Canis lupus familiaris: one gene and its partner. The protein of the gene in region 1 interacts with the protein of each later gene in a pairwise test. Links are inferred from orthologs where the notes say so. Each region holds a gene or a part of one and is shown on either strand. Other genes may lie near its edges.

Region 1 (8,646 bases):
GGAAGATTCTAATACTCAGAAACACTGAAATAAAATAATATTAAAAAAAGTGAAGGTGAAACAATGACATTTTTTAAAACTGAATGTTCTTATATCATGTAACAAAAAGAGAAATAGTAATATATACATATATATCACCAAAAATTATCAGAACAGCAGTTGATGATATGTTGATTTTTAGAGAAAATGTAGACTTTTTATCTTAGTTACTGGCATTAGATTTATAGCCTCATTACATTTCTATGGACTCTCCTAAGAGTAAATTGATATAAATCATATATTTTGTTCCAATTCTATCAATTTTAATGTAATAAAACAAGTAATCCTCTTTCAGATACATTATTTGGAGGAAAATACTTTGTCCAGAAATACAAAGCTTGTGGTTGTATAATACTTGTTACCTCTTGTAATAATGAGATCTAAAATCTTGACTTCACTGGGAAAATGTAATTTATAATCTTAAGACATGAAATATTAAAAAGTGTAATGTTAGATTTTGATTTCAAGATTAGTTACTATACATGCTAATGAAACTTTTTTCCTGTCCATACATTTTCCATTTAGCCAAAATGTCTTTGTACTCTGTTTAGAAAGAGTCTCCAATCATCTATCATCTTTTTAAGTGTTGATATTTTGGGGGTTTGCCCTTTGGCATCAGAGAAGTTAACACTAAAGAGTAAAGCAATTTAACTAAAAAGCAGAGTTCCCAGCAAATTGCTAATTGATCTGAAATCAGTTTTTATCTGTTTGTATTGTAGGCATAGTGTTTTAATCCCCTGGTAAAGACCAGGAATTGGATTAAAAATGTCAAAACAACAGGAAGTCAACAGCTAGTGTTTACAATTCTCAAGAGATCTTGCTTTCCAGCCCCTAAAATAGAAAATGTAAGACATGTGCAAAGAACTGCAAAAAGCTGAAGACCAGATTAAACCCTTATATTTCTGAAAACTTGCTATGTTTTTATTTGCCCTCCCAGCCATATAAATATTTCCTTTCAACTTTTTCTCAAATAATCCCTATAATGCCACAGTTTTAAATCTTCCTCCAAACCTCTATTTTTACTTTTTCTATCTCTCTGTTCTACCAGATTTGATTCTTTCACTTAATTTATTTAAAAAAAAGAAAAGAAAAGAAAAACTGAGAAATGTGTGGAATCCTAAAATTGGGTTGATCTTTTTTTTTTTTTTTTAAGATTTTACTTATTTATTTATTCATGAGAGACACACAGAGAGAGATGCAGAAACATAGGCAGAGGGAGAAGCAGGCTCCATGCAGGGAGCCCAATGTGGGACTCGTTCATGCCCTGGGATCATGCCCTAAGCCAAAGGCAGACACTCAACCACTGAGTCACCCAAGTGTCCTGAGTTGATCATTTTTATTACTGCTTACTTTTCACGCCAATTAGATTTTTTTAAATTACAGCAAGGGTAGAACATATTAGTACCAGTTATTTCCAGAGGCCACCATATTGTACACACTTCTCAGAATCAGTATAACATAAATACAGCAACATAACCACCATCAGAATGGAGAGTGGCACTCAGAGAGCACTGGATTCAGAATCAGAAAACCTGGGGTAAATTTGTTCCTTAGAAAGGTCGCTCAAACACTTATCTCCATTTACAACAAGGAGATAAATGTAATGCCCTACACATGACCTACACCTGCTAAGAGAGTACTGTGTAATTATTTATATTCCGGAGTATAATAGTCTGTGCTGTCCAACTGGATAGTCACAAGCCTGATGGTGCTAGAAAACCACTGAAATGAAGGCAGTCCGAACTGAGATGTACTCTAAGTCTAAATTAGGCACAGTGTGGAAAATAAAAATGTAGACTATTTCATTAATTTTATATTGGTTACATTTTAGAATGGTAATATTTTAAAGATATTGGGTTAAGTACAATATGTTATTAAAATCTATGTCACATTTTTAAATTTTTATTTTATTTATTTTTAAACATTTTATTTATTCATAAGAGACAGAGAGAGAGAGAGAGAGAGAGGCAGAGACACAGAGGGAAAGCAGGCTCTATTCAGGGAGCCTGACATGGGACTCGATCCCGGGTCTCCAGCATGGCCCTGGGCTGAAGGTGGTGCTAAACCACTGAGGTGCCCCACATTTATTTTTTAAATGTAACTTCAGATTGTAAAGGTTGCTTGAACACTACTTCTGTTGCATAGCTCTACTCTAGAGCAACCCAAAAATTTAAGGATTTTTCTTTTTCATAGAGAATTTTCCAGAAATAGAAAACTTTGTTTTGAATTTTCAAACTTATGTTCAGTGTGTTCTCACAAAATTTCTATCTCTGTCTTACAGAGGCTTCTCACTTATGCATCAAACTAAGATGATTGCTAATAATATTATTTTCAAATATATGTTTGAAAATGCATTCTATTGATAATGTAAATACACATCAGCATCATAGCTATCATTCAAATATAAATGAACAGAACATTTTCATTCTCTGCCACATGGTCACATAATGTAGAAGAGGAGATGCTACAATAGTCACATCAAAATAAAATGGCCATGATTCAAAACACTGGATATGACTGTTCCACGTTCTCATCTGAGAAGTTTAAAAGAAATCCCATTTATTTTAAGCTATTTAGACAGCCTGGCTTTTAGAAAAAAAAAATTAAATATTAAAATAAAGGTAGTTCATGGTTTCTGACCATCATTTGCAAATATAATTTAATCTTTATCCAAAACTTTGGCAATATAATGAACATCGAGAAAAATTATGGGCTTACAATTCGTTAGATGTGAAAAATTCTATGTCTATATCTTATTGTTCCCTGAAGATCCTTCTCTAATACAGTCTGTAAGACCAAGCAAAACATCATTAAAAATAGAGGACAGCAGAGGGGATACAGTCAATAATATCATAATACACTTATCCTGGTGAGCATTTCATTAGGTATAGAATCGCTGAATCACTACGTTGTATACCTGAAACTAGTTTAATATTATATGTCAACTACACTTCAGTTAAACATTTTTAAATAGGTAACTATAGGGGATCCCTGGGTGGTGCAGCAGTTTGGCACCTGCCTTTGGCCCAGGGCGCGATCCTGGAGACCCGGAATCGAATCCCACGTCGGGCTCCCGGTGCATGGAGCCTGCTTCTCCCTCTGCCTATGTCTCTGCCTCTCTCTCTCTCTCTCTCTCTCACTATCATAAATAAATAAAATTTTTTAAAAAGTTAAAAAAAATAAATAAATAGGTAACTATATGAGGCGATGGATGCATTAAAAAAATAAGAAGGTAAGTGGAGGAAATTATGAACAAAATTAGTCTCAGCATGGGAATGGGTACTAAAATTAGTGTCCACTTGTGGATATTTATCTTCTTACCATAATATAATCCACATATAAAACACCATGTTTTTCCATGTATTTTTATAACAGGACTGTTTTCCCATTTAAGTAAATTCAAAGACATTTACTAATAAGAAATAAAATGTATCTAGTAAAACCAAGGGTGGTACTAATTGGTTGTAATGGAACTAAACTTAATTTCATGTCCAAAATATTTTCACATGCAGTATCCTTACAATATTCTCATCTTTCCGTTCCTATCAATTCCAATAGTTCTACCTCATGCACCCACTGGCTGGTATATACCCTAGATACTATTACCATACAGCATTTCTTCCATTTCCATGTTAAGCACCCTTTTGATTACCTTCTGTGGTCCACAAAATTCTCTTCTTTGACCTAACTTGGACCTCCTATTAACTGATCCCATTATCTTTTAACCATTTATTACCTACTTCATATTGATACTCCTTCCCTTTTCCAAGCCCCATTAATTAACAATTTATGCTCAGCTAGATTGGCATTCTCTTAACCTTATTGCCTAGAAAACTCCAATTCTGGTTGGCATTCAACTATCTGCCTGTTCCACATAGGCACCTACCTGAGCATCTGCTAATACTTAGAGAAAACATGGTTTACTTTCAGGTCTCACTTCAATTCTTGATTCTGAATATCACATCAGCCCTTAGCACTGCACAGCCAACCCTACTCCATTTCCCTTATCATTTCACTTTCCCATTCTCCAAAACTCCACCCATCTTCTTCCTTAACTCTTCCATCTTTCTTGATGAAGTTATTCTTTTTTTCCCTCTGTTTCACTTTAAAAAAAAAAAAAGTTATCAAAAGACAACTACCATTCTCTGGCTCTACCACACTTATCAGCCTTGTGGTAACCCTGATCTCAGCCTCTTTCTACATCATCCTTGCCCCTAAAGTCAAACTTTCCATTTGCAGGTTCCATCTGAATCCCCACTAGCTGACTTAAAGACTTAACTCCTACAAATAGAGTTCTCTCTCTCCTTTCTAATAAAATTAAATCTCCCTCCTAAGTCATTCTTATCGGCAAAGGGGACATGCTATAATATCTTCAACCTGAAAAACAAAAATCATCTTGATCTCCATCCAGGGACCATCACATTTCTCTGATATTTTTTATAGTAAAAACCATTAGAAGATATTTTCACTCATCTCACTCTCTCTTGAACTCACTCTACCAGTTTTTAAGCCTAGATCTCTGCAAAAACAGAAAATCAATAACTTCTGTATTGCAAAATCTAATTAACAGTTAACTCCTATTTTCCTTGACCACTCAGTAGCATTTTATATAACTTGGCCATTTCATCTTTCAGCAATGACTCATTTACTTAGCTTCTGAAAGACTCCTCTTTCATGGGTCTCCTCCTACCTCTCTGAATGGTGCTCTTCATTCTGCTCTGGTGGGTCTGCCTCTGATATGGTAGTACTCCAGCACATCTATTTTTTGGGGGGAAGAGGGCTTTAATTCTACAAATTAAAGACAAGGATTATAGGATACCATTTAAAAGCTCTGCAATGAATATGTTTTTTATTCAAAAGGGTACTTCTGTATTCAGCTACCAAAAAAAGTCCTTCTATCAGTTTTTAACAGCAAATATTCTTTTATCTTTTCTACATATAACAGCAACTCATAGTAAATATCATCATATGCAAGTCACTCAGGTATTTAAATATATAAAAATATTAGTAATCTGCAAAGCTATGACCTTAATAGAATGGTATTGAGCACAACCCATCTTCTCTTTGATAGGCTGCTTTCCTCCTATAAGATAACCAGTTTTCTATTTTATAATACTTGATAACAATTGTGCATCAACAGTTGATCAGGGCATTGAGGACCAAACACTGAGGACCAGGTATTGAACATGTAAAAGACTCTCTATAAAATAGAATCTTGGAAAACAGCCTAGATCTGTTTAATTAAAATGAAATGTCCTAACCTAAGGTCAGTGATGAAAGTATTTGAGCTGACAAGTATACTTATTGTTTTCTTAATGATATATTTAAAGGAATGAATCTTTACATTACAACTATCTTCAGCTGTTTGGGCATATGGCAAAAAGGCATTACTCCAGTAAAGCCTATTTAAATGACAATAAACTTCTAAAACAGTAGATCGTACATTTCTAAAATGAGAGCACAGACACTATTATATATATATAGTTATAATATATATTTATAAAATATTCTATTTAGAGAAAAGTTAAATATATTTAAAGTTTAGATATACGAGGAAAAATGTTAAATGGGGCTTATTCTTTTTACTACTGATGTACTGTACTCTGCATTGTCTATTAGCAACATAAATTTTATATATGCTCTTCACCCATTCAAATAAAACTTACATGATAATCATGGGGTCTTTCCATTCATATCACTCATCATAAACAAACAAAAGAACGCCAGTGTGTTCCCAATATCATTTCCAATAACCACATGCGTTTCTCTTATGAATATGTGATATTTGATGAAAATCAGTGATTAAACTTCCTCTGAGAAATCAAAAGACATCTTCTTTGAATACAATGTTCAAGAAAATAAAAGAGAGGAAAGCCTAAGTGTTGAATATGAGAATCGCCAATTTAAGTATAAAAACTGCTTATTTTCAGTATCAATTTCTTCTGTCTATTCCCTAAAGTAAGAGTGGACCACCTGAGAGAATTGTGATTAGCTTGGATTTACGGATGTCGTCTCACTGTCTCTTCCCTGCACGCTATTACCCCAACGCCATCCCAAACCATTCTGCTCAACTTCTGCCAGACTCACATTCCTAAAATACCAGTGGAGCAGAGTGGAAAAGCTTTGGAGCCAGAAAGACATTATTTGGAAACCTAGCTCCAGAACGTACTATATCTGTGGCTTTAGAGAAATCATTTACATTTCGGAACATCAAATTTCCTCGTGTAAAATGAAGATATGTGATATGAATTTCATTCTATTAAGCAACTATCAAAGTTGTAGATACGTATGTAAATTACCTTACACATAGGAAATGCTATTATTTGCTGGTAGTGTGATGATGATGATGATGATGATGATGATGATGATGATGATGGAGATGACAAAGCAAAGAAGAATAAATACTCCCCATCTCTTCAGAAATTTGCAATCACCCTCACTGTACAATATATAGGGTCAAAATTACTCTGTATATTCAGAGTATACAGTGCTCTGTGTTTCACAACTTTGTCTCACTCTTGAGCCCAATGTCTGCTACTCACAATGGTGAGTTTTTCTTCTTCTCCAATGAGGTTCATAGCCTCATAGCTCATGCCTCAAAACTCTTTGCTCCAACTACTACTACAAAGTAGAACGGTCTTTTTGTTTTTCAACAACTATCTACATTCCACTGATTTTTAAGACTCAGCTCGGGAAGCAGGACTTTTCTTTCAAGGCTTCTTTAAAATCTTGCTAAGAAGAAGATTTTTGAAGGTTTTACCATTATAGAAAAATTCAATTAACCTTGCAGTATCAGCCCAGGAGAAATGGTACTTCTTCAAATAGAAGCTGTCCTTATATCATTTTTAATTTTAAAGAATTATCATCATTATATTTGTGGCTCTAATAATTAGAGGAAAACCTCATAAATTTCAAGACCACAACTGTATCAAGGCACCAGGAAGCTTATATGCTAGTGATCATGCAATTACTGAACCCAATAAAAACATGAAGAATGCAAAATTATATCATCTGTCATTTTACAAGAAAACTAAATTTTTAAAGTTTTCCAAAAAAGCAATCCACATATAGCATTTTTCTAAATGTCATTCATATAGATTTATTGATCCCTTAAGTCAATACTACAAAATCACAGGAAAATTACACAGATACTGTATTTCTAGCATTTTAAGATTGCTTTTTCATCTAATGCTTATTTAAAAATGTGCATAAAAGTCAGAATTCAGAAATGTTTAATGTATATGCAAGGATATTCAACAAAAATGACTAAAAACAAGGCATTCAGTCAAAAGTTGTAACAGTACCCTATTCCACAAAGCTATTAGCAAAAGTGTATTTGCATGATTTCAAAAAATAAAAAACTAGTGTTGATATAAATGAGAATATTAAGAATTATCATTGTGTATTTCAATTGCATATGTTACTTGTTTCTATTTTTAAATAATATCTTCATTATATTTCTATTTAATAGACTTAACCACTCAATATTCAGTTTATAATTTATCTTTGTGGAAAACATGAACAAGTATTTCCCAATGGTTTCCATAGATCTTTTTTTCCCTTCAGTTCTACTATTACTTCCCATATAAAGATCCATTTCTTTTTTATCATGTACAGGATTTTTATTATTTCATTCTATGTCCCTATCTCCTCCATACTGCCCAGGTAACTTCTATAAAGAAATCAATATTAGTTCCAAGTTTGAGGTATATTTTTCTGTTAACAATAACAGAAATTCAGCATGAGGACTATCCAATCAAAATAAAAATAACTCTGAATGCATGAAGCATAAATATGAGGGTTTGCATAACAGTTTTGCATTTTTTTAAAACTCTAAGAATATAGATTACTTCCAAACACATTGACTAACTCATATTCATTTGGAACTACAAAACAAAGTCTTAATATAAACATAATCTATGACTGTCTACATTTAGAGTTGAAATTCTTACCTGAGTTGTGCTTAGTATAGTTATTTTTTAAAAAACAGGAAAAGTATGGCAAGCTGTCAGGATAAATAATATCAACAGTGGAAAATGGAAGAAAGAGGGAAGGAATCAAGTCCACTTTAAGAAGAAACTTCAAATCCCTCTGTTTCCCAGACCTACAGTAGTTTTGTTCTGCATCTTATAAGTAACTGTCTTTTTCTTTGCTCCGAGAATACCACATGCTCTGCTCCAGCAGGAAAATATAATAATTAAATAGAAAACCACAAGGTTATTAGGCATCTTACCCTCTGGGCTTGCTGGGCTGCTCTAGCGGCTCAGTGTTACAGACACATGTGTAAACAACAGAATTTCCTGCATCCTTTTCTCATCTGTATAGCTCTGGGGTCCTGGCCAACAGGATTATTTCCAGCATTAAGGCCACTCCACACTAACTCAAAAAAGATTCCCATTGGTTGTGAAGTTTTATCAAAACCAATACCACAACACCCTCTTTGGATCACAAGTGAGTGAACCAAAATGAAATCACTTTAATGTTCCCTAACTAAGTGTGGTTGTACAAAGCTTTCCATCCAACCCATTTGAAACCATGTACTGTGAGTGAAAAAGGAAGAAAATACCCACCCCTCATCCACATGCATTTAATGTTTAATAACAATAG
Region 2 (6,563 bases), on another chromosome or scaffold:
TGAGAGATCCAGAGAGAGAGGCAGAGACACAGGCAGAGGGAGAAAGCAGGCCCCATGCAGGGAGCCCGATGTGGGACTCGATCCTGGGTCTCTGGGATCATGCCCTGGGCGGAAGGCTGAACCACCCAGGCTGCCCTGGGAGCTCTTTCTAATTTGAGCTCTCGCGCATGTGGCACAGCTTGCTGTGGCCACTCTAGGAGCCCACGTCTTAGGAAAAACTCCCCACAGAGTTACTCGCTGGGCCTGAGTCCTGGGAGGGAGGGAGACCATAAAAGACATTAGAGCTAAGAGGGGCTGCAGCCATCACCTATGCATGGTGGGAGCTCACACACAGTGGTACTGTCCTCTGAAAGGTGGCTGGCATTCTATCTGCCAAAATTACAAATGCACTTCCCCCTTGACCCAGCAATCCCACCAGGAGGTATTTATCCTACAGATAAACCTGCAAACGCTATACTAACACTAATGCAAAGAAATAGAGCAGAAACTATGCTGTGCAGAGGGGTGCATGGGAACCTGCTCAGGGTTTTTTTTAAAACTGTTCCTATTAATAATCTTAAAAAAAAAAAACCACTTAAAGCTTATGAAAAGAAAGAAAAAGAGGCTTTGGAACCAACCTATTTTACAGGCAGTAACCTGTAGGCCTGAGGCCTCAGAGTTCACAGCCAGATTCAGACCCCCAGGGGTGGCACACGAACCTCCGTGTCCTTCCTCTGCATGTGCTATGGTTTTGGGTTGTTGTTGTTGTTGTTGTTTTCTTAAGTAGGCTCCACACCCAGTGTGGGGCTTGAACTCATGGCCCTGAGATTAAGACCTGGGCTGAGATCAAGAGTCACTCAACTGACTGAACCACCCAGGCGCTCCAGCATGTGCTTTGTTGAGGGGGGCGGGGGAAGAGTCTTCTCTTGCATTTATTCCATTTAGGAAATGTATTTTGTATCACACAGGACCATTTATTTGGATGAATTCTGTGGAATGAATTTTGTATTTTTTGAGACAAAAACAAGTTCTTAAATAAAATTGAAATGTTGAAATATAGCTTTCACATTCCGTATTCCTTTTGTTTGGGAGACGTATGGCAAAATTTCAAGCCAGACAAGCTGTTGTGGATTGATTGTGTAACCATACCACTCGGCTCACCACTGCCAGTCAATATTTACTGTCTTCCGTGCCAGGCAGTCTGCTGGGAGCTGAGACTATAGTGTGGAGTGGCCACAGTTCCTGCCCTCTGGAAGTTTGTGATGTTGGGGGGTGGAGGAGCTGGGACCCCAGTGAGGCGCTGTCATGTGGTTGTTGCTATGTGTGTGTAGGGAGAACTGTGGGATTTGTTCTTCCTTGGGGAAGGGAAGGAGGAAGGGGAGGAAGGTCTGAGAAGCTCTCAGAGAAGACAGAAGTGGGCAAAGCACATTGCAAGCAAAAAGCACAGTCTGTGCAATGGCACAGCGGTGCGGAGCTGTATCTCCTTGCGGAATGGTATGGTTGGAACACAGGAAGCATGGGAGGAAGAGGAGAGATGAGCTGGAGGGGCAGGAGGGCCTGGCTATTTCAGCCCCTGATGAGACGATTCCAACGGACACTCGTAGCTCCAGAGCCTCCTACGTGGTCCACCAGTGCTTGGTCAGCCTGTCACAGCTCAGCTTCTCCCCTGCCCAACCCTGCTTACTTCCACACCTCTTTCCTGTGATCCTCAGTAACCACCTGGCTCATCTCGAAGTTTCACCTTGGCATCTGCTTCAGCCTGAGACCTGGAGATGGGGGTGGCTGGGTTTCTAGCTGGGGAATCTGGGGGCACAGTGGTGCTGGGAACGGGGAGGACGGGTCTAAGAGAGAAGGAGCAGGTTTGGGCAGTGGGGACATGGGTGTGCCTGTAGAAGGCTGGCCTGATGGGCCCATTAGGCATTCAAGGCCATCTCAGAATCAGTTGGGTTTGGCAATGGCAGTCATCAGGTCCTAGAGCCAGGGAGTGGTTGAAGCTGTCGGAGGAAGTGGCTCACTCAGGGAGAATTTGAAAAGAAAGCAGAGGGTAGTCCCACAGTTCACCACTGTACCAGGTAAGGAAGGGGCTGCTGACCATGTGCAGCCTGGCCCTGCCCACAGGAGTTCCCTATTGGTTGGGAAGGAGCCTCAGATGCGAAGAGTTAAAAACATTAAAGCTCTACCTTCATGGCTTACCAGGTGTTTCCATAACTCCAGACTGTTCTCAAGTCACAAGGTAGAGCACACACTAACCTACATGGAAAGATCACTGGTTTTAGGGATGGTCAGGCCCAAGTTGCCATGCCAGCTCCACCCCTCCCTGTGTGATGCTGAACAAATCTCTTGTCCCTGTTTCCATGATCTCACCTGTAATATCAGCCTAACCAGGGTTGTGGTGGGCATGAAACTGGAAATAGTATGGTTAACTCAAAGTTCTGAAAACTTAAAGGGAAAGAAGCATCGATGCTGATTTTTCTGGTCTAAATTGTACCCCAGTGAAACCAAATAGTTGATGAGGGGAAGATTCTTAAATCCGAGGACTCTAGTTAATAGAATAAAAATTAGAGTTACTTGTTACTGCTCTGCATCCTCTAATGACATAGTGCATCTGTGCAGTGATGAGCAGTGGCAGGCAAACCATCAGTGGAATTCCCCAATGACTGACTGGATCTGGCTGACAACGTCTGAATCTACTGAGCAATCTTCACAACTTAGGGACAAGCAGATGTTCTGGGCCTCCTGCAGTGACATAATGGGAAACACACAGCTTCGCCTATGAAGTATTCCTGCCCAAAAGACTGAATGTGAAACTGACCCTCTAGATGTAACCACCAGTTCATGGGAAATACCAGGGACATAGAAACAAGTTAAAGGACACTGTGAGGCTGCAATCAGCCAAATCGAGACCGTGGGGGAATTCTACAGGGCAGATGAGCCTGTTTCTTCAACAAATTCATGGCAAGACAAAAACAATAATTTACAGTTTAAAAGAGATTTAAGAGACATTCCCACTAGGGGAAGACAAGAAGGTATGAAAAGTACTTGGCACATACTAACAGCTCAATAAATGAGAGCTACTGTTAATTTACAATGAGCAAACTGCACTTTGGTGAGAGTAAGTCACTTACCTGATGTCACCAAGAACTAGCCAATGACCCCATGGTCTGCTTTGCAGAAAGTCCTATGTCTATGCAGTCCAGTTGGGCAGCTACAATAATCACCAAAACCACTCACTGAAATTGAATTTTTATTCCAAATGACTGTAATGGCTAGAAAGACAACAGATAAAACTGAAAATGATCTGCTTAACTGGAAATTAGAAGTAGCTGATTTTGTAGGAGAGCAAACGGTGGGGTGACAGACAGCCTTGGCACTTGATAACGGTTATAACCAAGAAAGCATAAAAATAACCGATGTCCTTCTGATACACAATCTGGATGTGCAGCATTTACAGCAAATATCATAAAAAGAAAGAAAGGAGGAAAGAAAAGAAAAAAACTCCACAAAATCCCAAACCTCAAAAATCAACATTCTCTTAAGAACACAGTGGTGAGAAGACTTTTGGTAGCAAAATTTTCACAATTCTTAAAGTGAGAGTCTTCAAAAGTACTTCCTCAAATTCAAAAGCTAAAAAAAAAAAAAAAAAATGCAGAGGGAACAGTCACACTGGCTTAGAAGAGCTGCCGCCTGTCACAAAGATGACAATCAGTCCTGCTTCCAAACACAGTGATGACTGGCGAGCCTGACAACTGAACAGAGCCTGCCTGGCGGGTGCTGACGCAGCTGATTGTACAAGAACTCTCTGGATCACTCATCATCAACAGGCGACAACAGAGCTACTGCTCCTCCTGACTGATGCTCAGGCTGCCTTTCTGCACCTCTAGTTCCTCAGCACTGACCATCGACGGGTCGATGGCCGCGTATTTTGTTCCATGGAATTGTAGCAAATGGATCTGTAGAAACACAGAATCATTATTTTAAATGTCACAGTAACACATAAATGTTTTAAAAAGGTTTTATTTATTTATTTGAGAGAGTGAGAGAGCGCAGAGATGAGAGGGAGAGGGGGAAGCAGACACCCCCTGAGCAGGGAGCCCCAACATGGGGCTTGATCCCAGGATCCCGAGATCACAACCGGAGCCAAAGGCAGACACCCAACCGACGGAGCCACCCAGGTGCTCTAGCATATAAATGTTTATAGTTCTAAAATTATAATGTAATTAGAGAAAAACTGGAAAACATAGAAAAGTCAAGTATTTTGAAAAACCACAATGTGGGATCTTTGTTCCCTATTTAATATATAACAGGTCTCTCCAAGTTCCTATAAACTCTTCATCAACATCTCAGAGGGTGGCACACCACTCTGTGAGTGGGTGTTTACCCTCCTGCTTTGCTGCTGTGACTCAGGTCCTCCCCCGATCCTCTGCTGTTCTGTGTGAGATCATGATCAATGTCTCCTGGCATCAGGTTTTTTTGAATTTAGGGTCTTCTCCTTAGGATCCATGCCACAAATAGATGGCAGGACCTAAGGATGTGACTGGTTTTTGAAGCTCTTGATACTTCCTACCGAACTGCCAAAGCAATAATTTCTCACTGCTATTTTATTTTTTCTTAAAGATTTTATTTATTTATTCATGAGAGACACAGAGAGAGACAAAGGCAGAGACATAGGCAGAGGGAGGAGTAGGCTCCATGCAGGGACCCTAACGTGGGACTTGATCCTGGGTCTCCGGGATCACGCCCTGGACCAAAGGCGGCACTAAACCACTGAGCCACTAGGGCTGCCCTCTCACTGCTATTTTAATATCCATTTGGGTAGAAGATGAAGTGGCAGCTTTTGCTAGTTTGTGTGCATGCGTGCGTGTGTATATGTTAAGTTATATTTAAGTAATCTCTACACCCCATGTGGGACTTGAACTCACAACTCCCTGAGATCAAGAGTCTCATGCTCTTCCGACTGAGCCAGCCAGGCACTCCTGCGTGTGTTTTTTTTAACGTGTTAAAAATGGATCAGGAAGTTGCTTCAATGAAGGTTCCTGTTCTGATTGAATTCACTGTATCCAGGAGGCAAGGTCACATCATGTGGCATGGCCACTTCAGTATGTGTGGATGCAGGCCTGCTGTTCTTAGAAAAGAGATGGTAGGCAGAGTCACTCAACTGTTTCTAATATACCCGCTTGGCTTCTGCTATAAATTATTAATGTAAACCACCTTTATCAAGTGAATGACTCATTGCTACAGAGAATTCTGTAGTCTCTTATTCCACCATCCAAAAAAAAAAAAAAAAAAAAAAAAGCTTTATGTTTCAAACCATACACTTTGGGTTCAAAGTGTTCCGGCTCCCAAGCTGGGACTTACCTGCACATAAAGATTCACCTCCGCACTTCTGCACAGGTATGGGAAGTTGCCCCCTGTTTTAAGATGAGCCCTCCGGGCATTAGGATACAGTTTATACATTTCTTCTTTAGCTTCAGTTGAAAGTGCACTCTGGTCAAATACCTTTTAAAAAAAACACAAAGCTGTAACCTACCAGTGTTTTAGTAGGTTTTTTGTACATTGTGGAAAGTGCCTTCCAAAGCATCTCTTTCTGGCTTTCTAGTGAAGAGATACCGCTGAACCCCTGGCCAGCCTGGGTAACTTGCTCATCTCTGGTAACTTCTAACTCCAACATAAGCTACAGATTTTGTTGTCAAACACCTCTTGCATTCATTGGGGGGAAAATTCTTATCATGAATTTTTTCCCCTTAAACATAGCTAACTAACTAAATTAAAAGAACAATAGTGAATGCCAATTCATTTCAAAAAGATCACTGAAATCCCCCAAACTTTTTATTTTATTTAAAGATTTTATTTATTTATTCATGAGACACACACAGAGAGAGAGAGAGAGAGAGAGAGGCAGAGACACAGGCAGTGAGAGAAGCAGGCTCCATGCATGGAGCCCGATGTGGGACTCGATCCTGGGTTTCCAGGATTACACCCTGGGCTGAAGGCAGGTGCTAAACCGCTGAGCCACCCAGGGATCCCCCCAAAACCTTTTAAATTTTATTATTACTTAAAAACAGTTACATAAGTACTATATGATCAGAAAAAAAATTCCAAAAAAAAATTTTTTTTAAGAGTATAAGAAAAAGTCCAGATCCTTTCCTGGGGGAGCCATTGTTAGCTGTTTGGAGTATATGATTCTAGACATCTTCTAATGCCCACATAAACTTACCTGTTTTTTGTTTGTTTGTTCTTAAAGATTTTATTTATTTGAGAGACACAGAGAGAGAGATAGCATGAGCAGGGGGAGAGGGGGATCAGGATCCCAGGACCCTGAGATCATGACCTGAGCCAAAGGCAGACACTCAACCAACTGAGCCACCCAGGTGCCCCTAAACTTATGTTTAAACACATGCAAACAAGTTTTCAAAAAATAATATTTAAAATGAAGCACACACACTCAAAAAGTATCTCCAACTTGCTAAAGCTTACATACAGTTTTCAGTGACCACATACCCAAGTGGTGAGCTCAGCTTTGAAAGATGGGCAAGCAGAGCAAATGTACCATGAGGACCAAGTATTTTACCAAGAGTACCGAAAAG

The links.
Region 2: the proteins of CCDC102B (region 1) and SPG21 interact in binary tests that used the Homo sapiens proteins (3 or more experiments, as listed by UniProt). The two-hybrid records come from large-scale screens. The link is inferred for Canis lupus familiaris from reciprocal best matches to the Homo sapiens genes CCDC102B and SPG21.

The regions. Positions count from the first base shown.
Region 1 is NC_049222.1:9,361,235-9,369,880, forward strand, and holds the start of CCDC102B (coiled-coil domain-containing protein 102B), read right to left. Parts: upstream 4,806-8,646; 5' UTR 4,798-4,805; coding exon 4,730-4,797; intron 1-4,729. UniProt on the Homo sapiens protein: During interphase, forms fibers at the proximal ends of centrioles to maintain centrosome cohesion. During mitosis, dissociates from the centrosome following phosphorylation to allow centrosome separation. Contributes to CROCC/rootletin filament formation.
Region 2 is NC_049251.1:29,776,869-29,783,431, forward strand, and holds the end of SPG21 (maspardin), read right to left. Parts: intron 5,476-6,563; coding exon 5,335-5,475; intron 3,930-5,334; coding exon 3,813-3,929; 3' UTR 3,207-3,812; downstream 1-3,206. UniProt on the Homo sapiens protein: May play a role as a negative regulatory factor in CD4-dependent T-cell activation.